Linked DNA regions of Astyanax mexicanus. The protein of the gene in region 2 purifies or fractionates together with the protein of the main gene of each other region. This does not show direct contact. Links are inferred from orthologs where the notes say so. Each region holds a gene or a part of one and is shown on either strand. Other genes may lie near its edges.

Evidence for each region.
Region 1: the proteins of tctn2 (region 2) and tectonic-3 purify together in Homo sapiens (affinity purification with mass spectrometry; 3 studies listed by BioGRID and IntAct, with this or other methods). This does not show direct contact. The link is inferred for Astyanax mexicanus from reciprocal best matches to the Homo sapiens genes TCTN2 and TCTN3.

What each region holds. Positions count from the first base shown.
Region 1 is NC_064422.1:3,665,424-3,676,798, reverse strand, and holds the start of tectonic-3, read right to left. Parts: upstream 4,947-11,375; 5' UTR 4,770-4,946; intron 854-4,769; 5' UTR 853-853; coding exon 567-852; intron 199-566; coding exon 84-198; intron 1-83. Other genes in the region: WD repeat-containing protein 5B, read left to right, coding at 6,375-6,386, 8,738-8,949, 10,077-10,161, 11,125-11,254.
Region 2 is NC_064429.1:30,826,011-30,836,899, forward strand, and holds the start of tctn2 (tectonic-2), read right to left. Parts: upstream 4,762-10,889; 5' UTR 4,705-4,761; coding exon 4,623-4,704; intron 1-4,622. Other genes in the region: ccl19a.1 (C-C motif chemokine 19a.1), read right to left, coding at 6,040-6,078, 6,658-6,772, 7,185-7,308, 9,793-9,868.

The DNA.
Region 1 (11,375 bases), on a different chromosome or scaffold from region 2:
CCCAAACATGCTGGACACTGGCTAGAGCACCATCACACTCTTTATTGCTCTAGGAATTCAATATTAGCCTGTCTCTGGTTTACCTTGTCTCCTGCACACATCCTCTGAACACAGAGCTCAGGTTGGCAACTCCACAGTCCATCACGTCACAGCAGCAGCCGATGTCGCAAAAATCCAGCGTAATGTCACACACACACCCTGCAACCAGAGGAACATCCTGAGATATTGGGCATTTTACTAGATTCCCAGATGTTTAGTATGTAAACAATCTAAGCTAAGCAGACACAGCTATTTAGATAACATTATTTTATTTTGAAAAACTGTAAACCAATCATATTTGGTAACAAGAACCTGTTGTAGCAACAAACTATTCGTAAAGTACTGTTCCTTATATCTGCAACATTTGTAAAATTTAGATTTAACAACATTTGGATATACATTTGCATATAAAATATGTCCACATATTGCTTTCTAGCATGAAACAAATCGCTTATCTATAGAAGATAATTTGTTGATGTATAGATTTTAATTAATTTCATTATAGATCTTGAAAGTTAGAGAAGTACCATTAATTGGATTCATGATTGTGGGGGCGATGGTGGGTACAGCACGCTCCTCAAACTCTTGTGGAAACGCGCTCGGTGTGATGGAGTCCAGGGGATCTGGAGCACTGACAGTTACAGAGTCTGTTGTAGGTGGAGTTTCTGCTGCAGCTGTTGGATCATCTACGTACTCATCCCAGCCCACTGTTGGCTGTTCTGTGTAGATTCCAGTGTTTTGTGAATCTGTATGCAATGGTAAAATTGCAACATAAGCCAAGACCAGCCGCAGAAACCAGTGGCAAGACAGCATTCTGAAGAAAAAAAAAATGTCATTAGAATGTCATGTCAGCATTGGAAAGTGGGTTTAAAAAAGGAACAAGAAGGCTTCTACACCAGGTTATAGTGAATGTACTTATGTGGTGAAATGATACAACATGAACCTAGTGAATGCTGGATTTACTAGGTTTATGTTGGATGGCTATTAATAATGTTACCAGTTATTATTGAGAAAAACATCTAGTTTAGAAAATTTAAATATTTAATGGCCGTGCCTCCAATTTCTAAATGGGCTGTATTTATACAGAAAAATAAAGACCTTAAAGACACTAATATACAATGCAAATGCTTTGTTTTAATATATTGACTAAATATGAAATATGAATCTGGAATAAAAATTAAATATTATTTACAGTATGTGTGCATACATGTTTTGACAGGATATATTTAATTTATTATTAATTCACAACCAATTACAAAAAAGATTTTAAATCAGCCTTTTTGCCCTAGAAAATGAAAAAATAATTCAGGTGAGCTCTACCTTCCCAGTGTATGAAATAAACCCAATTCTCAGATTATTATGGTTTTAAAATCTCTTGGACTATTTTTACATAACCAGGCTAAAGTGACTTAAATCCTTGCTTAATTTTTCAAATCAGATTTGAGTCACTTTCATATGTGGTTCTAAATCATATATGTATCCCATCCACGGACATGTGACATGAATATGAACAGTCAAATCAGAATTCATGAGTCTTTTTGTTTTTACGCTGCGCTACGTGCTTCTCTCTCATACCCACAAATCTCTTGGTGCAGCTGTGCAGCAAACGCAAACCGCCTGTCCTTTTTTCTCCTCCTCGACCTGAGCATGAACTTCAGACCAGCTGTTTACTCTCCACTCCAGCAAAAGATGCTCCACATATGAGCTGCTAACAAACTCATCCATTACCCTTTATAAAGCTACGAGTCGTATGATGTTTTTTGTTGTTGGTAAAGAAGACAACGTTTCTATATTATTTGAGGTGTTTCAGAGACAGATTCGTTCACACTACACACAGATGCAGGTCACTTACATTTGTGAATGTGAACTGTCAAGATAGCCAAATCCAACTGAGCATAAATCGCATTTGAGCAATGTGGCCTGTAATGTGAACGTAGCCTTAGTGTGCGTTGTGGCGTGGAGATATAAAACACTGGTCTCTTCACTCCTAAGAGCAAACTTAAAAGTTGAATTTGATTTACAACAATTTCTGCTACCTAACTAGTAAGACAGATATCCCCCATTTTAGAAAAAATATAAAATAAGTAAATATAACTTCATAAACAGTACCAGTTAAAACTTTGGACTTACATGTAGTGTTTTTTTCATCAAGTTCTGCATTGTAGATGAATACTAAGGTCAGCCAAACTATGAATAAAAACATATGGAATAATTTAGTAAACAAAAAAGTGTTAAACAAACCAGAATATGTAGTTTATATTTTCTAAGTAGCTCCTCTTGCTTAGATGAGAGCTTTGTACATATCTGCATTTTCTCAGTCAGCTTTATAAGGTCGAGTCACCTGGAATGGCAGTTAACAGAATTTCAGTGAACAGCTGTGCTGAACTTATCAAGAGTTAATTACTTGAATTTCTTGCCTCTTAATGTGTTTGAGAGCTTTAGTTGTGTTGTGAGATTGAGTTGGTATACAGTGAATAGCCCTATCTGAGTAATGTTCTAATTCATTTTATGACAAGATTAACTAAACTAAGTAAAGAATAGGTCAGTCAATCTGTAAAATTTCAAGAACTTTGAAAGTAAAGAGCAGTCACCGCAAAAAAGACCATCAAAGACTTTACGATGAAACTGGCTCTCATCAGGACCACCCCAGGAAAGGAAGAGCAGGAGTTCTCTCTGTTGCACAGGTTTAAGTTCATCAGAGTTACCAGCCTCAGAAATGGCATGTTAACAGCACCACAGATAAGAGGCACCTAAATGCATCACCAAGTATTTTGGTTTGTTTAACACTTTTAAGTTACTACATGATTCCTTATATGTTCCTTCATATTCTGAATGACTTCAGTATTAATTTACTATGTAGGAAAAAATGTAAAAAAAAATTGTGTCTGCTACTGTATATTCAAAACAGTTGGACTGTTCATGACCCAATTAATCTAAAATGTATATCAGACATTATCTAAACAATTTATTACAATGCATTAACATGCTGTTTTTACCTTGTATTTGACAATGGTGCTTGAAAAAGCTTGTTTGTATCATATAACATTTAATGTAACATTTAATGTAGCCTTAATTGTCTATTAGAAGTGCCCCTCCCTCTGTAAGTATTAACTCTGATTATAGAGTAGACTGTATCCTCTGCACACAGTCCGCTATATAATTAAACTAGAACTCTTACGCCACCAGGTTTGACCCCAACTTCCGTTGCAATTTATATACACTGCTTGCAGCCTATTAGACATTTGCGATGCATGACCCATTGTGTTTAAAAGGGAAGCAGCAGTATTTTTTGCGTTGTGTTAAAGCAGCTTCACACTGCAGATATACACACTGGAACACAGAATCGAATTGCTATCTTTACTTTCTTGCTCCCAAGACAGACAGCTCTGACCACTTAGAGGAGAAAATGTGCTCACATAGTTTATTGGAGTGTATTTTGGTGCGTTTGTGTGAAACCAAACCAAAAAGAGGGAGAAACTCTCCAAGTAAACAAACTCATCAACTAATCCAGACCATAGAAACCAACTACCGGTATGAAAATGCTCTTTAATACTAATTCAGAAATCCTTACAACCAAGATGATATATTTACAATAAAGTAAAAAAGGTTCCTCTATCCAATTTATCAAGCATTCTTTATTTCAGCACACCACATTGGCTTTATCTCCCCTCAAACATACAAGTATATAATAGTATTTTAATTAAAACCACTAATATAAATATAATTGCATTTTACATTTCTTATAGGCCTATTCATTCTTTTATTTAAATTTAAATCCACTATAAAAAACGTACGTCTTAAGAAGAACACGTGCGATTAATCACAGTTAATCACAGAATATTGTTGCGATTGATCATACTAGTGACTGGTAACATGTTTAGCTTGCTTAACTAATACAACTAGCTAACCCAGGCCCCTATTAAAGAAGCATATAAATCTAACAAAGCTAACTAGCAACATTTACAAAGACTCTATATTTTGTTTTTCGTTATTAGTAACTAACTAACGCTTCCTGATATTTCCTACACAGAGCCCAGACAGGAGTCGGCGGGTTCTGAAGCTCTGCTAAAGCGAGAAACACCAACAAATCTTACAGAGGAGAATACACACTTCAAAATGTCTTCCGTGTCTGCCAGACCACCAGGGGGCGCTCCCGAGTGAGTCCAAAATAAATGTGTTTAAATAGAGCGATTGAACAAAATCACAGTTTATGAATAATAATAATAATAATTATAATAATTTGTATACTTAAAAGTTTTCTTATTTCCTCAACACGGAACAATTTCAAATGTTTCAGCAGCACAGGCATATTTTTAAGCTGTTAAATTCGTTATAAACTCTTTAAATATGCTCTGTTATCAGCTCACCAACCAGTCAGTACACAGTAGCAGGAATGCTAACGAATCTGTTGTCAAAAATCGTTTACTATAGAAAGACAGAAATAGGCAAGTACGGTTTCTTACATATTTTAGCAAAACAATTTATTCTTATTTCTAAAATTATAGAAACACCCTGGAAAAGTAGTTGGGCGCTGTTTTTAATTTAAGTTTTTAGCTGTTTAGCTGTATTCACCCCCATTCATTGAAGAGTCACTCGCGGGCTCCCCCTAGCGGTCTGCAGTCATTTTCTCATAGAACGGGGAGACAGGAAGTCGGTAGTCTTGCTATAAACAGGCTCCGATAGCTAAGCTAACACAGGTATCTGAGAGGTTAAAAACAGCAGTGACTAACCTGAAAACACGGACAGTAAACCCCGCAGCCTGAAGGTGAGCGGCTGCTGCCGTTAACCAGCTACGGGCATTTCATATTCGGTAGAGAATAAACCAAAACCAGAGCTAAAAACACACACAGCTCAATAAACCCGCCAGACAACTCCAACAACAACACGCAGCAGCAGCGGCCGCCGTTGTCAAGGAAATGGTCACCGTTCCAATGGGCCAATCAGAGGACTCCGACTACTCCTGGCGCTATAAACGTAATCTATCTATTAACATCTAGAAACAATTAATATTAACAATATAATGTTTTTTATTTTTTTATATATTTTGGATCCCTGGACAGGCTGGCCTCTTTCTTTCTGAAGCTCTTGCATTTCCAGTCATTTTAAAACATATTACGTACATTTCATATTTTATAAATATAGTAAAATAGTAAATATATAAAAATAGTTTCATTGTCTATTTCATCTTCATGTGAATTTTTGCATCTTAATAATTTTAGGCCAATTTCAAAATTGACATGCCTAACTAAAATCCTAGAGTCTTTTTTGATATTTCTCAGTGTAAACTTGGTTCCTATTCCTATCAGAATATAAAGCTGGTTTCAATTACTGCTGCTACTGTGATCCCCGATGTTCTTTTTATATTTTAATAAAATGCTGGATCCTTTTTCTACTCCTGTGTATTGGCTTGGCAACATTGTAAATGAAGGCTACTTTTAATGTACTCAAAGTTTAAATAAAGATTGATTGATTGATTTTATTAAACAAAAATAGGGAGTGTTTTAATACATTTGTAAATATAAGTTGGTTCACTCATTAACTCCTTCACTATAAAGTATTTGCTCTATAGTAAACGTATTAAGAAATGAACAAAAACACATCTTAATTTATATAAAATAGGTCGAGATATATATAAAAATAATTTAATGTATTTTAAAATTATAATTTTAACTAAAATGTTTTTGTTAATTAATTTAATTTATAAAATATACAAGGCAATGAAACAATTCACAAATATTAACTATAACCTATCTATTTGACTCATGCTTATTATTTTTTATTTATAAAATATGCAAAGTTATAGAAACAGAAAAAAGTTTCATATTGCATATATAAGGCACATTAATATTAATAGATCTATTTCAGTTTGTCTTATGATTTAGAGATTTCATTTAATTATTTTGATTGAATTTAGTTTTAGCTTAAAATATTGAAGGAGTAAAAACATAAAATGACCACCTTTATTACCCATAATCTATTAGTTTTTGAAATTATTTTTTGTTGTTATTTTAAGTTTTTTTAATTTCACTGATGAAATATAGGTGCTACTACAAATATGAATTCAAAGCATTTAAAGACTTCAAACACAAAAGTAAAAAGCCAGAGGCTCTGTCACAGAAGGCTTTATGCTCCCTTCGTAGTGCACTATGTATGCCATTAACTGCTGGATAAATAGGTGTTCACTTCGTAGTGAACGAGGGAGGGATTTGACATGGACCCAAAGCCTCGCGGGGTCGTGGTTACTGAGCAACGGCGGCTGTTGGGCTGAGGGAAAGCGTTTCAGCTGAGAAAACAGAAAAACAGTTAAAAGATAAAAACAGAAATTTCACCTGGATATGACTTTAGAGGTAAGAATATTTTATTAAACGCGAATAAAACAGTGAATAAATGTAATAATGAGTCGAGTAGAAATAAGATTAGCTCCAAAACATAGTTAACATAAGTTACCTGTGTGGAAACCGTTGGGCTTAAAATCTCATCAAACACAGAGTTTTTACTATATAAATATAAACGATGTTTTTATAGTTCAGGTGGGCTGACCAATAAGAATTAAATTTCATTCATTTTTTAAAATTTTAGATTTATTAAGGGAATCTTTGGCATATTCTGCCGCATGGTTGCCATTTCTGTCCCCAGGAAAGTACATGTATAAATGTGCAAACAAAATAACTTTAAAATTTTATTATTTTATTATTCATCATAGTGTCTTGTACATTGACCTAAAAGTAAGATATGTAATTAAAAACATTAATAAAACTACTTAGAACACTGGAAAAGTACAATTTGTTACCTGTCCCCACACTCTAACTATAAACTTTACCATGAAATATAATTATTATAATCCTTCATTGTTTTCCAAATCTATCCATCTATGCTTTAAATTTTTTCCCATAAAAAATACATAATATTTAAGTTACACATTTTAGTTGTGTCCCTGGGTTTCTCTCACTCCTGTTACCAACATCTGGAACATTCTACAAGTCACATCTACAACATGAAATAAAATGAGCTGGTACTTCTGAAGACCATGGGAAGACCAAAATTAAGTTCCTAGTTGTTTTTCTGTATATTTGATCTTATTGTAACTATGACTATTGTAACTGCTGTAGTTATAGCTACAAATGTTTTATTAAAAATTGATTTCATTGTATGTTTTATGTTCTTGGGCTAATGGAAACCTAATTTAAGGATTTCACTCCTTAGATTCTAAAACCACAAAATAATTATTTCTTAAAATATAGTGTTACCAAAAAAATAAATTTTTACTGAAAACACTCATTAGTTCTTATTAGGATGAATGCAGGTACAGATACAGTAAAAGAAATAAAGAAGAAAGTATTTGAGATCTTGTGAGCTAGTTGTTTAGATGAACTATGAATGATTTACCATCATTAGCACTGAATTACCAAAATAATAAAATTGTATATATAATATAATTGTAAATATTACTAGACTTCCTTTGTAGGTGTCTTTTTTCATTTTCACAGGTGCCTACATTTTAATACACTCAAGCTGTTTTCAGTCTTAAAATTACTTATAGTCTTAAAATACAGTTTGTCAAATTATAAAAGGTGAAAAGTGTTTGATAAATCCCTGGAAGCTAAATTTGAGTTTTATTTCTAATTTGGCTAATTTAGCTTGGCCTCTGTGTAAACATACAAAGTATTCCTTATGAATATCTTTTACAAGTGTAATAAATCTCCTCTGTATTTCACCACTGTCACTCTCCTCTCGATGTAGAATGGGCAGAGCTAACAGTTGGTGTGGTGGAAATACCTGTGACGATTAATAAAGACAAATATTAAGTTCTGAGTCGTGTCAGATGAGTAACAAGTTTTTATTAATGCAAATTATTGAGAGTACAATCAGTCATGAAATCATCACGCTCTGAAAGTGCTCTGAGAGTAACAGTTTCTCAGAGCCGTTATTTATCCCCGCTCCGCTGTATCCGGAACCGTAAACCATATATGGACATAGGGTTTCCGCTTGCAACGGCATCCTTCAAATCTCCCTTCTATCCCAAGACAGAAACTCCTTTCTGTTCCCAGACAGAGTTGTTTTCTGTCTAAAATGTCAGCATAGCCTCTTCACATTCACATCCTGGTGTTTACCCAAAATGGTTATCAGACAAGGTTTCTCTGCTAGCTAGCACGTACACAAATGTCGGAATGACCTAAAGAGTAACTCTGCAAAACGAGCTAATATGAAGTGAATTACCACTGTAAATATTAAGTGTGATTAAGCACATCTAATAAAATAAACATGCATAAAATGAAATTTCCCACGTCATTGGTCACACTGACTTCAGCACAACTCTGACCAATCACATGACTAATATAGCTCCTCTCTCTCTTCAAGTCAAATTATCAAAGTTATTTCATTGTGTAAAAAGGCTAAAGAGGCTAAAAATCTGCACAGCTTTTCCGTCGTAAGGCTGTGTGCGATGCCTTGGTAATGTAAACATAAATGTAAACGAAAAATCAGTCACACATGTTCATTAGAATATTATGACAATGCCCAGACAGTATCAAGAGTGCATTACGGTGATTTGTGAGATGTGTTTTATTGTATTTCTGCTTTGTGTTTTCCATTTAAACTTTGCTGAATGCTTCACATAATTCACAAATGTAGTATTGTACAAAAAAATGTAAAACTGTGTTCTCACTTTAAGGGGTATGTAAAATGGTCTTCTGCTCAGTTGTCCAACAGCTTGCCAGTTGATTGTCCAGACTCGGAGAGTGATGATGACAGCGAACCTGCAAGCGATCCTAAACCAGAACCCAACGAAGCTCCTAACACACAGAGTGACGTCTCAGACCAGGACCCGACACCGTTCCCAGAGAAGAAAGAGGAGAATGGTGAACCCACTCAGCCCAAGACAGACGGAGATTTACACATACAATCAGTCATGTGAGTGTAAGCCTGAATTAGGCCTTACAATCAGTCATTTTCTCTCGCTGTTGGGTTGGTTGGGTTTATTTTTCTTCTCTGGTTTAACCTAGGAACTTTGCTCTGCTTTGCATGTACAGTGCTGTGCAAATGTTCCAGGCAGCTAAAACATAATTTAAAAGCATTTATCTCAGCAAAAGTTTTTGCTTGAACAGATACAGGTAAACATGAGGACCGTAAACAGTAACAAGACTTTCTCTATCTGAAGTTAGTAGGGTAGATGGCAGTAGGGGTTATAGCCGCGATGTTACTGGCTCTCGGAGATGGTGTGAGCTAGTCTGAAGAACAAATCTCGAAGAACAATCTCTTCTGAAAACTCCTAGCCTGTGCCTCAGTGAATGTGTTCAATTCCATTTGCAGCTCAATTGATTTAACATAACTAATCTCTTATTTATCAAACCAACTATTGATACGATGACAACTATTAATAATACTAGAAGAGATTTAAAGGTCTATAGGCAAGCCCTCTACTGCCCGCTGGTTAGCTTTATTTTCAGAGTGTCTTTGGTATCGCAGGTATGCATAAAATATATCTTGCGCAGCTTGAAACAAAAGGCATATACTAATTCTCTTAATTAATCCTGGTGTGTTTTGGGTATAACGTGTTACTTGCCATTCCCTTTAGAAACCAGGTGCACTCTGACTTTGGCGGACTGCCATTTTAACGGTGCAGGGAGTCTGCTTGTTCACTCTGTTGAAGGTGCATGAGAAGGTAACTTATGGGAACAGCAATGTTATTGTATTTTTGTTTACTGTTAATGTAAAGGTTGGGATTGTACACTGCTGCGTGTCTGTGTAACAATCAAGGGTGTACGGCACACACACACAGCACACCTGTGTTCTTAAAATAGCAATAAACGTCTGAATGCTGTCAGGGTTCAAATCAGTCAGTGGCACACCTGTGTTTTCCATTGACAAGATCGCAATACACCATAAATGTACCTGAACACACCTCATTTCCAGACCACCATGGCCATCAGCGTAGATATATTCACAAGAATCACGGCGTAAAGTGGAAGACTGTTGGTGGGATGGGATTAAAATGTATGCACTTCTCTGTAAATTTGCTTGTTCTCCATCTCTTCCAGAGAGTGTGACTGTGTAGCCATGACGTGTCAGTTCAGTACCGATGGGTCGCTGCTTGCTGTTGGGCTCTGCAATGGAACCATCAAAGTTTGTATCAGATTTTGCCTTTCTAGAACTCGTGTGAACAGTTGTTTAGGACCTCATCTTTACCTCCATCATTCTGGCCACTGCCATCTCCTAATTACACTATAGACAGAGGTAATGGCTGCCTGAAACACTGTGCTGGCATTGGTTATTTTAATGCTAGGCAGCTGATTTGAGGACACAATAGTTGTTAAAAGTTGCAGCATGAGTTTCTTTATTGGCGTTATATATATGAATGATGAATCCTTGTTGCAAAACTCTCCTATAAAGACTCTTTCTTAGTAGCCCTTTGAAACAGTAGAGTTTGCCAGTGAAATAGTATTTTATCCTATCGTGATACATTTTCTTCAGCAATATACTTTTTAAGCATATCAAGACATTCTCAGTGATCAAAGAACACTAACCCAGCTTTGGATGAATTGCAGTATATTGTGAATCAAAATAACTTTACTAGTATTGCAAAGTATTTAAATTGTGTTTTTAGGGATCTGACACTCATGATGCATACATAAAAATGTTGTGATATAATTTTTTTCTATATTGCCCAGCCCTATGGAACAGTCTAACAAGGCTTTATTGGTGGTGTTGTGCATGAACGTTATGTAATGTTATGTGATTTTTCAGTTCATCACTTTAAAACATTATAATTATTAAAACTACTACCAACAATTCCAGAAAGCACATCTGATTTAAAAAGTACGACATTTCACCATTTCATTAAACATATTAACTCATTTAGTATACATTTAGCAACATTTTAAAAAGATGGGACAAGATCATGTGTGCCATTGGGTAGCATCCACTCTTCTTTTAACAGCGGTGTGTAAAGGCGTGGAGGCCTGTGGGTGGAGTAGAGAGGGGGATTTTAACTGATGACTGACTCCTGCATCTTCACCGTTTTTTGTTTAATGATGTGAAATGTGTTCTGACTTTTTTTTTCTTTATGATTCATTATGATTGACCCAGGTGTACAGCACAGACAGTGGTGAACTGACCCAGACCCTGAGGGACAACAGCAGTGTTATTTCAGGTCTACCAGTGACTGGCCTGCGCTTTACCTGCAGCGGGAACTTACACCACCTGCTACTGGCCACCTGTGAGTATACCCTCACACTTTTACACAAGTCTTTAATTGAGTATGAGGATTAGTGGTTGACCGATATTGTTTTATTAATGGCTGATGCCAGTATTCAGAGAGCACAAGTGGCACATGGCCA
Region 2 (10,889 bases):
AAAAAAGAATTAAAAGAATTCTACAATATTTATTGAACACTTTTTTTATATTTCATATCCCAGCAGACATGCCAACAAAGCACAATACATATAAAAAATATTAAAAGATCACTTCATTTTCTGAATCAGTTTCTCTGATTTTGCTATTTATAGGTTTATGTTTGAGTACAATTAAAATTGTTGTTTTATTTTATAAACTACTGACATTTCTCCAAATTCCAAATAAAAATATTGTAATTTATAGTATTTATTTGCAGAAAACAAGAAATGGCTGAAAAAAACTAAAAATATGCAGAGCTTTCAGACCTCAAATAATGCAAAGAAAACAAGTTCATATTCATAAAGTTTTAATGGTTCAGAAATAAATATTTTGTGGAATAAACCTGTTTTTTAATCACAGTTTTCAGGCATCTTGGCATGTTCTCCTCCACCAGTCTTACACACTGCTTTTGGATAGCTTTATGCCATTTCTGGTGCAAAAAAATCAAGCAGTTCAGTTCATCCATCTTCCTCTTGATTATATTCCAGAGATTTTCAATTTGGTTAAATCAAAGAATTTCATAATTTTAAGTGGTCTCTTATTTTTCCTCAAAGCTGTATAATTACATATTTACTTCTGCACTGTAATGTTCGACTTTTGAGAATGTATGTAACCGTATTTAACTTGAATAACATCATGCAGCCCATGACCCATTGCTCATGGGCTGAAAAAAATAAGCAACAAGAAAATATAGAAAGTAAGAAAGAGAGAGAAAGGTAGAGAGCGAATAACAGAAAGAACCTCAGAGCCCAAAGAACACTCCTAAAGTGAAGAAAAAACCCAGCATGGTAATACCCAACTAAACCCATGTTTACAGGACACACCAAGAAGCCTGGAAGGTGCGGGGGTTTTACTGCAAACTGCAAACATTATGACCAATTAAAACTCACGTTGTGCGTCACTGTGGGGGGTTTGAAGAACCAAGGTATTGAGATAACCCAACAAAAGATCAAATATGGTCAAAATAATGTGGGCCATTATAAAACATGCCAAGTGGTAATATAAAATAAGTCCTAATACCTTGTCCATGTTCTCCTCCACCAGTCTTACACACTGCTTTTGGATAACTTTATGCCTTTATTCCTGGTGCAAGAATTCAAGCAGTTCAGTTTGGTTTGATGGCTTATGATTATACATCTTCTTCTTGATTATATTCCAGAGGTCATCAATTTGGTAAAATTAAAGAAACTCATAATTTTTAAGAGGTCTCTTATTTTTTTCCAGAGCTGTATCACCCATTTTCCCACAATATACCCAGTTTGTAGTGAATCTCATGGAAAATCTTTTGTATTATCCCACAACCTATTTTTAGTCTTTCTTGCAAACTTTAAATAGTTACTATCATGTCCAGGTGATTGTTCCTTTATTGAATATTGGTTCCTCTTAGTGTTTCTTATAGAAGAATTGAGGAAGTTTTTCCGGACACTGTGACCTTCAGTTTTGGGCTGTGGAGAAGTAGAACTAGACTAGTGATGGACGTCCATCAAATACGTGTAGATTGAGCTGAACTACTGGTCTGTTATGTTTCATCGCTTGAGCTTTAAAGTATCATCAGACTTTTAAACAAAATAAATTAAATAATGTAATATCTGGTGCACAAATGGTCAAACTAACAATTAATACACTAAATTTCAATATAACATTGATGAGGAGATCATTCCTATATAATTCCTATGACCTATTTTTAACCTTTTGCAAACTTGAATGGCTACTACTACTGGAGGCAGGTGATGGTTCCTCTATTGAATCTTGGTTTCTCTCACTTTTTCTTGTTCGAACATTGAGGAAGTTCTTCCTGACACTGTGACCTTAAGCGTGATGAAACCCCCCAGCCTTGGCCTGTAGAGCAGTGAAACTGCACTATCCAAAGTGTGACTGTGGAGTAGTGAAGCTATTAATACTAATGAAAGCAGAAGAAACAGGATGAGCAGGTGTCTGCAAACATTTTGCAAAAGTTAAGGATGGTATAGGGAAGATGTTGGATGATCATCACTCCAAATCATCATCCCAAAAGTATTGGATGGAGCAAATATCATTCCAGAGGACATAACAAAAAGTAAACTGTTGTCAGTGTACAGCATTTATAGTAGTATAGATTAACTGTATTCTGAAAACAACAGCAGTCTTCGTACAGCCTAGGCCACAGTTGTGGAGAGAAACAATCTTTTTCATCAAATCCTCAGAGAGATCTTTACCATGAGGTGCCATGTTAAATATCCAGTGGACAATATGAGACTATTGTACCCGATGCACCAAACTTAAAAAGCCATGCACCCCATTCACACCTGGAAACTAATAACGCTAACAAGTCACATTATATAAATGTATGTTTTTACATTAATAATTCGTCAAACACCTAATTTGGTAAAAAATAATTAAACCAACAACAACTTTGAGGAGCTAGTTGGGAACTGAAAGAACCGTCTCTCTAAATGACATCTCTCTAAAAGAAACGGTATTCCCATTACTAGTAGTAAAAGTACTTTAAAGTGCAGGTTAAAATTCCTCTATATTTGTAATAATGTGTTCATTTAGTGTCAATCTTAAAAATGTATTAATATACAGTGTTTGTATTACATTTATAAATCTTTGCTTCTACACAAAAGTCACATTAAGAGTCTAGGCCCGTATACAGGCTACAAGTGTAGATAATATAATACCCTGTTTTTCTGCAATAACTCTTGGAGGACACTTGAAGTTGAAGTTGCATGTCCACCCTCTACCCCATTTAATTTTAGATTAATAAAAGGAATCAACCCCTACATTTTGCATGTTTGAAAACAAAAATAGAACCTAGACAACTGTAATGAAACTAAAGATTTGAAGGACATTAACTGTTTGATTTGTATTTATCAATATAGTTTGGAAGGGGCACCGGTGATGTATGGGTTTAGGGGCAGGGCAGAAGGGAGAGCTAAATAGTAGTGTGTCTCTGATAGCTATAAGACGCAGATGGTTGGACGTCTGCATGTTGTGAGTAATATGCAAATACAACTGTAATGAAACTAAAGGTCTTGGGCACATAAACTGTTTTATTTATATTCATAAAAACACGGATTTTAAATTGCATTCAAAGCCTCTTTACCTGATTTTAGCTGATTCCACGCTCACCTCAAATTAAAAAAATGCAGGGGTTGTTTGGGAGGGGCACTTGATAATATATGGGTTTAGGGGCGGAGCAAGAAGGAAAGTTGATTGGTTGTATACAGGCTACAGGTGTAGGTGATACAAATCCCCTTTTCTCTGCAGTAAAATAACTTATTTACATTCTGAAAATTTGAGGGCTTTGAAATATCATACAGGACACTTGGAAAAGCTGCCTGTTCTCTCTCTACTCCACTTAATAATTCCAGATCAGTAACAGGAATTAACCTTAATTCTGCATGTCTAAAAATAGATGTTAAAAATTAGACAACCATAAGGAAATGACAGCTTTGGAGGCCATGAACTGGTTGATTTGTATTCAGGATTTGAATTGATTTCAAAATGAGGTTCAGAAAAGAGCCTAATTTTAAGATTTTATTCATTATATTTTGACAGTTGTAGATTTACTTGACTATTTTTCTATACTTTCTTTTATAATTACAATTATGATTTTCAGTAACGTTGCTTATTAAACATGAAAGCTTTTTATGTAATGCTTTATATATATATGCTTCTATAAATTAAGTTAGAACTACTAAACCAGGGGTGTCCAAAGTATGGCCTGCGGGCCATTTGCGGCCCGTTTCCTTTTTTAGAGCGGCCCGTGAGGTATTTTAGAAATAGAATGAAAATCGGGCCAAAGAGTCTAAAAGCGGAGAGAGTGCGCATTTCTAGCGCAGAAAAACGGGGCAAAGAGTCTAAAAGGGAAGAGAGTGCGCATTTCTAGCGCAGAAAATCGTGCCAAAGAGTCTAAAAGCGGAGAGAGTGCGCATTTCTAGCGCAGAAAATCGTGCCAAAGAGTCTAAAAGCGGAGAGGGTGCACATTTCTAGCGCAGAAAAACGGGCCAAAGAGTCTAAAAGCGGAGAGGGTGCACATTTCTAGCGCAGAAAAACGGGCCAAAGAGTCTAAAAGTTGCCGTAATTAAGGAGTTTAATATTAAGAGACATCATGAAATTAAACATCAATTTGAAAAATCTTAGTTTACACAACACTGTCAAAGATAAATATAGTAAGTCAAGTAAAATGGTGTGTAAATGAAAGTAATCAGTAAAATGTATTATTTAAAGTGGTATATTTCATTATTTGTTTTATTACAGAGTCTGTGGCCCGTGACTTCAAATATATTTCTCCTTCTGGCCCCCAACAAAAAAAGTTTGGACACCCCTGACCTACACTGATATAAACTGACTCTCGGTAGGTTACAGCATTGAGTCAGTTCAAAAACATGCCTCAATCAAACAGAATAGCTAGCTTAGTTAGCTTAGCTACCTTGTTAACATGTATTGCTCTGTTTACACTGGGCTGACCAGACTAAGGTCTCCCTGGCAACGCGGGTGCGTTGGGCTCGTGCTAATATGCTAACGTTAGCATGCTAGGTTAACAACACGCGCACAGACAGATCTTGTGCCTCATTCAGTATTAATATATCCAGCTTACCGGCACTGCACGCGGCCTCTTCTGTAGAAAACAGCGCGAGGACGAGTACAGGTAGAGCATTTAACCAGGTAACTGAGAGCATTGTTGATATTTCATTAGAGGTATTTGGTGTTTTTCTTCTGTGAATCACTGGCAGCGCTCACAGACACAATCTCCACAGTATATCGCCTCCTGCAGCCTGGAGCCACAGAGACACATCTCCAGGAAGAATCCATAATTCATTAGTTAATAGCTGATTTTGCTATTTATAGGTATATATCTGAGTAAAATTAACATTATTGTTTTATTTTATAAACTACAGACAACATTTCTCCCAAATTCCACATTTCACAAAGTTAAAGAGTTAAGAAATCAATATTTGGTGGAATAACCCTGGTTTTTAATCACAGATTCCTGCATGTTGGCATGTTCTCCTCCACCAGTCTTACACACTGCTTTTGGATAACTTTATGCCTTTACTCCTGGTGCAAAAATTTAAGAAGTTCAGCTTGGGTTGATGATTGTGATCATCCATCTTCATCTTGATTATATTCCAGAGATTTTCAATTTGGTAATATCAAAGAAATTCATATTTTTTTTAGTTTTTCACAGTTGCGAATAAAGGAATCAAAGACTTTAAAGAGCCAATAAACCCATAAAGCTTTTTTTTATCAATAGCTAAATGTGTTCCTTTGAAGTAATAAAACATACCAGACATGCTTAAAATGTTTACACTTTTACTTGAGTAAAAAGCTTGAGTTAATACTTTAACAATTATTTTAAACACTAGTGTCTATACTTCTACCTAAGTAATTATTATGCATATGTTTCACACATTTAACCTGATTCAGTTTAAAATTAAATTAGATTTTAAATTGTGAACTTTAAACTCAACATCAACAATAATTTATGTGGTGTTTATGTATTTTTATTTTATTTTTTTGCTGTTTGGTTGAGTGTATTATTAATATCAAGTTTGATCACATCTGGTAAAAAATCTGGTGAAAATATATTTTTGTTTTTTTTATATCGGAATTTATATCTGTAAAGTAAATGATCCACTAAGGTAAGAAGGTAAAAATATAGCAGTACAAACATGTAGTATTTAAACAGACAAGAAAGAAGACACTACGCATTGTTCACACTTTAATCATTTATTGCTTAATCTACAGTAGGTACAGAACAGTAAAAATGAAAAAATAAAAAAATGAAAAACGTCTTTGGTTTTTTTTTTAAACAAACAATAAAATATATCAAATTGGATAAAAAAAAAGCTTATTCATATTACAACATAAAGTGGTTTGTTGCTGTGAAGAACAGACACTGAAAAGAGCAAGTCATTTTTGAAAACAACATGCGGTCATAATTTAGCTGTTTAGCTGCCGTGATCGGGTTGACCTCCTGCTTTTATTTGGTACTCATCATCTTTAGGTTCTTCTCAGTCGTACTTGAGTTTCATGCCATGGCAGCGTCTCCCCTGTAACACAGAGAAACAGTGGAGTGGAGAGTGAGCGAGCTGAGTGACGCGTGCTGTTAGAAAGTATTCAGTAGTAAGACGTTATGACTTGTGGTCTGCGGTTTTAGAGTACAGTGGTTTCTGGGTGAATGGTGTTGAGTCAGAGTCATAACAAGGAAAATGGAAACAATGGGGCAGATAATCTTCTGTAAACATAAACCAAGATTTGGCTTAGATAATATCAGCGGCATATGACTTGTTCACACCCAGAGCTCTATTTTCTGACACATCTGCTTTCTTTTTCCAACTGGCATTGCTACCTTTGGACATTTGTGGTGTTTTAAGGGTCAAAAACCACCCGCCACCATGTTTAACAGCAGAGAAAAAAATTAAAAAGCATTAAACATCCATTACCTGATCCACATTATACAATACAGATACAAATCATGTGGTAGAAACCACATGTACATATCCCACATGTCATTGCAGTGTTCTTTAGCTACTATAGAACATGGCAAAAGTCATGGGACACTATACTAAAGATATATGGGACACTTTACTTTCTGTTCTATTTCTGGTTATAGATGCTAAAGTATATACCTTGAAGTTGTTCTTCTGGCACTTGTGCAGAATTCTGTCCACTTCAGTCTTCAGGTTGTTGACCCATTGCTCTCCACTAGGGGCACACAGATATTTTCCCTTCTTGGTCACAAATCTGAAAAAGATTAAAATAACACCATTTAGAATGCATCGAATAAAAATCTTTAACACTGGTGTGTAGATTGTAGATGTGTTACATGTGGCATTTGGTGCATTTGATTCATTTCCCATTTCTGAGGGACATTAGAACTTTGCTCTTGATCAATACTTCTGAAGATAATAAATTATCCAGTATATCCTGTAGAGCTGTGTATTTGCAAGAACCTGGCTAGATGATATGTATCATTATACAGGGGTTACGATTCAATATAATAAAATGCCAGAGTACAACATTGCTCTCTATAAATTAACCACTTCTGACACCAATCTTTATATGTAAACTAAAAAATGTTTTGCTAAAAATATTGCGATATGATACAATATCAATATTTTCCTATACCTCTTATAGTTTTGCATGGTATACTCACATGACAGCACTGATGGGGCAGCCTTCGCCTTTGACCTGGTCACGATGGCGCACCACAATGTTGGATGGAATAACCTGATGGCTGACTGACAGGCAGCAGTCCATTGCCTGATCTCCGAGGGACACTAATAGAGAGAATAATAATAAAAATAGTGTTAATAATAATAATTATTATTATTATAATAAAAAAGTTAGACTTGCCTAGTAGCGCATATTCTAAGAAAAAAAGATACAGGAGCAAATACATTAAAGCAACATTAGATTACATTAGTGTAAGTGGTGTGTTTTTGCTCAAAAGCTCCCCCTACAGTTACACAGTGTAATTCACTATTACTCCACTACTGTCAATACAAATCAAAGTAAGCAGTCCTTCATGTTACAGCTATATATATAGAACTTATTTTTGTCACTTAACATATAAATGTCCTTTTTAAATATTTTGAGAAAGTATTAGCTTGAGATACTGCCTTATTATTCTGAGATAGTAAGTCATTATTTTAAGATACTTCCTCAATATTCTAAGATAAGTCATTTATTGAGATATCTCCACAACATTCTGAGATGAGTAATTTTTTGAGAAACTACTGCAATATTATGAGATACTAAGTAATTTTTCAGATACTACCCAATATTCTGAGATAATAAGTCACTTTTTGAGATACTACCGCAATATCCTGAGATATGAAGTCATTACTCATACTCATTGTTTTGCAATGATATTTTCAGTCATTTTTGGAGATTAATAAGATGAGAAACGTATTATTTTAAGATACCATATCATAATTTTCAGATAATATTGTATTATTTTAAGATGCTAAAGGTAAACCATTGTTTTAAGATAACAACTCAAGATCTTCAAATGTTATATCATTATTTTGAGGTAATATTTCATAATAATAAGCAGCTAAAGCATGAGTTTGGGATTGAGTTTCATTTTTGCAAGATACTTTCTCATAGTTTTTGCATTGAAACAAAACATTCCAATTTAGGTGTTAGGAATGGTCTTCCAGACCTGTGCACGTGCATTTGTTGACAAGCTGTCACTTAACCTTAAAGGGTGTACTGTATGTGTACTCGGGCGGTAGAGTAATATTACAGGATTTTTCAATAGATATGGCTCGGGTTACACTGCAGAAATGTAAGGATAGGTAAGGATATAGAGAGTGCTAAATGGAGAAAAAACAGGAAGAAATGAAAGTAAAAGAAAGAGAATTGAATAGAGAGAGATAAGCAGTGAGTAGAGTATGAGTGGTGTGTGGTCAGAGTTATTTTGAATGTATGCTAAGCTGAGGTCAATTTATCTAAATTAGATACTGCCTGCTGGTTTCTAAATCACTGTAGGCCATTGAAAACGAAAGTGTGTCTTGGCACTGTTTGTGTGTACACATGCGTAGGCGTGTGTGTGGGTCCCTCTGTGTGTGTGTGTGTGTGTGTGAAAGTGTGTGTGTGGTCAGTGATTTTGCAGTACTATGAATCTTAACATCTGCAGTGCTGACTAATGGAGAAAAAGCAGCAGCAGCAGCAGCGACTGTTAAAATCAGAACTGGATTTCACTGCACTGAAATTACACAGAGCTTGTGTTTCAGGATATATAACCACAATATTGCCTAACCTATGGCTCAGGAATTACTGCAGCGGGATGTGAAAGTAGACTCCCATTCAATACAGTACAACGTCATCTGCTTTAGTACACAACATTAATCATATATTGAGAATATATATACCTACATACCTATTTATAATGCAAAATTAGAGCATGTAATCCACAATATAATATAATATAATATAATAAATACATAGGTTTCTGGGACAATACATTTGCATAATGGGTTTGTCCTTCAGTCACTGACACTTACCATCAGTGTCATTCCTCAAGGCTAATTTAAGTAAACTTGTAGATAAAATATTAAATAAAATAATAGGCTATAAAACCAGGCATTATGTTATCATGTTAAAAGCTTCATTTTCTTTTTCCACTTCCTTCATCTCCTTTTTTTTTCCAAATGTTTTAGTCTTTCAAATCTATATTTTAGTTCAATTAAATAAAACAAGAAGACTAAATGCAAATCTCTCATATTCACTTGAATTACTTCAAAGTGTTCAAAGTGTTACAAAAATCCACTATTTAAATTAACTTATATATAATAATTAGGCATAACAAGTGGATGTTTTATGATTAATTAACACAAGTTTTCAGTGAACATTTCTTGCATATTTTATACACTAATTTATTTTTTAACAATAATTTCTGTACAGTTACAAAAAATATTGCTGCTTAGTTTTTTAAACCTATTTAAATACTACTACCTAAATATATCTATTTTACATTTAGTTCAAACATTTATATTTATATTAGTTCAATCTATTATTTTACAGAAATCTAATTCCACATAGAAATAGACAGTGTGAAATGGCTTGTAAAAAAATCGATAATATAAATCTAAAAAAAACATTTGAAACATATAAAATACAAACTAACAGCATGTACTACCTAAGAGAATAGAATAGAATGGAGTATATGAAATAACATTACATTACATTACATTTTGTATTAAAATAAATATATTATCTATATATCAAATATATGCATTATTCACATTAGACCTTACCTTCCACATTGCTGCTGATGATTATAGCAGTGATCCAGAGAGCCACACACAGACTGCGCACCCCTGATGGAGCCATCGCTGCTGGAGAATAAAAGAGGATGTTGTGACTGGAAGAGAGTGTGTGATAAAGTGTGTCTGGATTGCGTCTGCTGCTGCTGCTGCTGCTGCTGCAGAGGGTGTGAATGAGCCTCGTGTGGGCTTATCCTGTCAGAGTTCCCTATCTGCCTCTGTACCCTGTCCCTCTGCGCCTCTGTCACTTTATAGCACAGTGAGTTTCGTTTTGACACAATGTAGGGGGTTTCCACACTGGAGTAAAGGACAAGTATTAAGAACAATAGGTGGCAGCTCATATTCTACCATCCATCTACCATCTGTTTTGTGAATATACACATAATACTGAACATAAATACACAACAAAGGCTCTCAGATGTTATATATAACTTTTGGGTAGCGCACCTCTTGGTGAGAGATCACTGGCTATCAGACATGCCTCTACTGTGCACTCAAATAAAATAAATTGCCCAGTTGACAGAGGGGGGCGCTTTTACATGCACTAGATGAACACTTTCTCAGAAATGTGGTTTCATGTTAGAAGATGCAGACAGCAGCATCCACCTGTTCACATCCACACATTCCTGCTTTTGTGATTTAAGTGTTGCAGATACAAGAATTTACAAGCATAAATGTCCTGGCACTGGGTGTAGAGCACTTGCTGGGTGTAGGGCACTCATTGGGTGTTGGACACTCACTGGATGTAGGCTGCTTGCTGTGTATAGGGCACTCTCTGTGTGTAGTGCACTTGCTGAGTGTAGGGTTCTCGCAGGGTGTAGGGTAATTGCTGAGTGTAGGGCACTTGCTGGAGTTAAGGTATTGAGTGTAGGGCACTCACTGGGTGTAGGCTGCTTGCTGGGTGATGGGCACTCGCTGAGTGTAGGACACTCATCTGGGGTAAGGCACTCATTGGGTGTAGGGTACTCACAGGGTGTAGGGCAGTCACTGAGAGTAGCGCACTTGATCGGTGTAAGGTACTTACTGGTTGAAGAGTACTTGTTGAGTGTAGGACACTCGCTGGGGTTAGGGTATTTGCTCGTTTTATT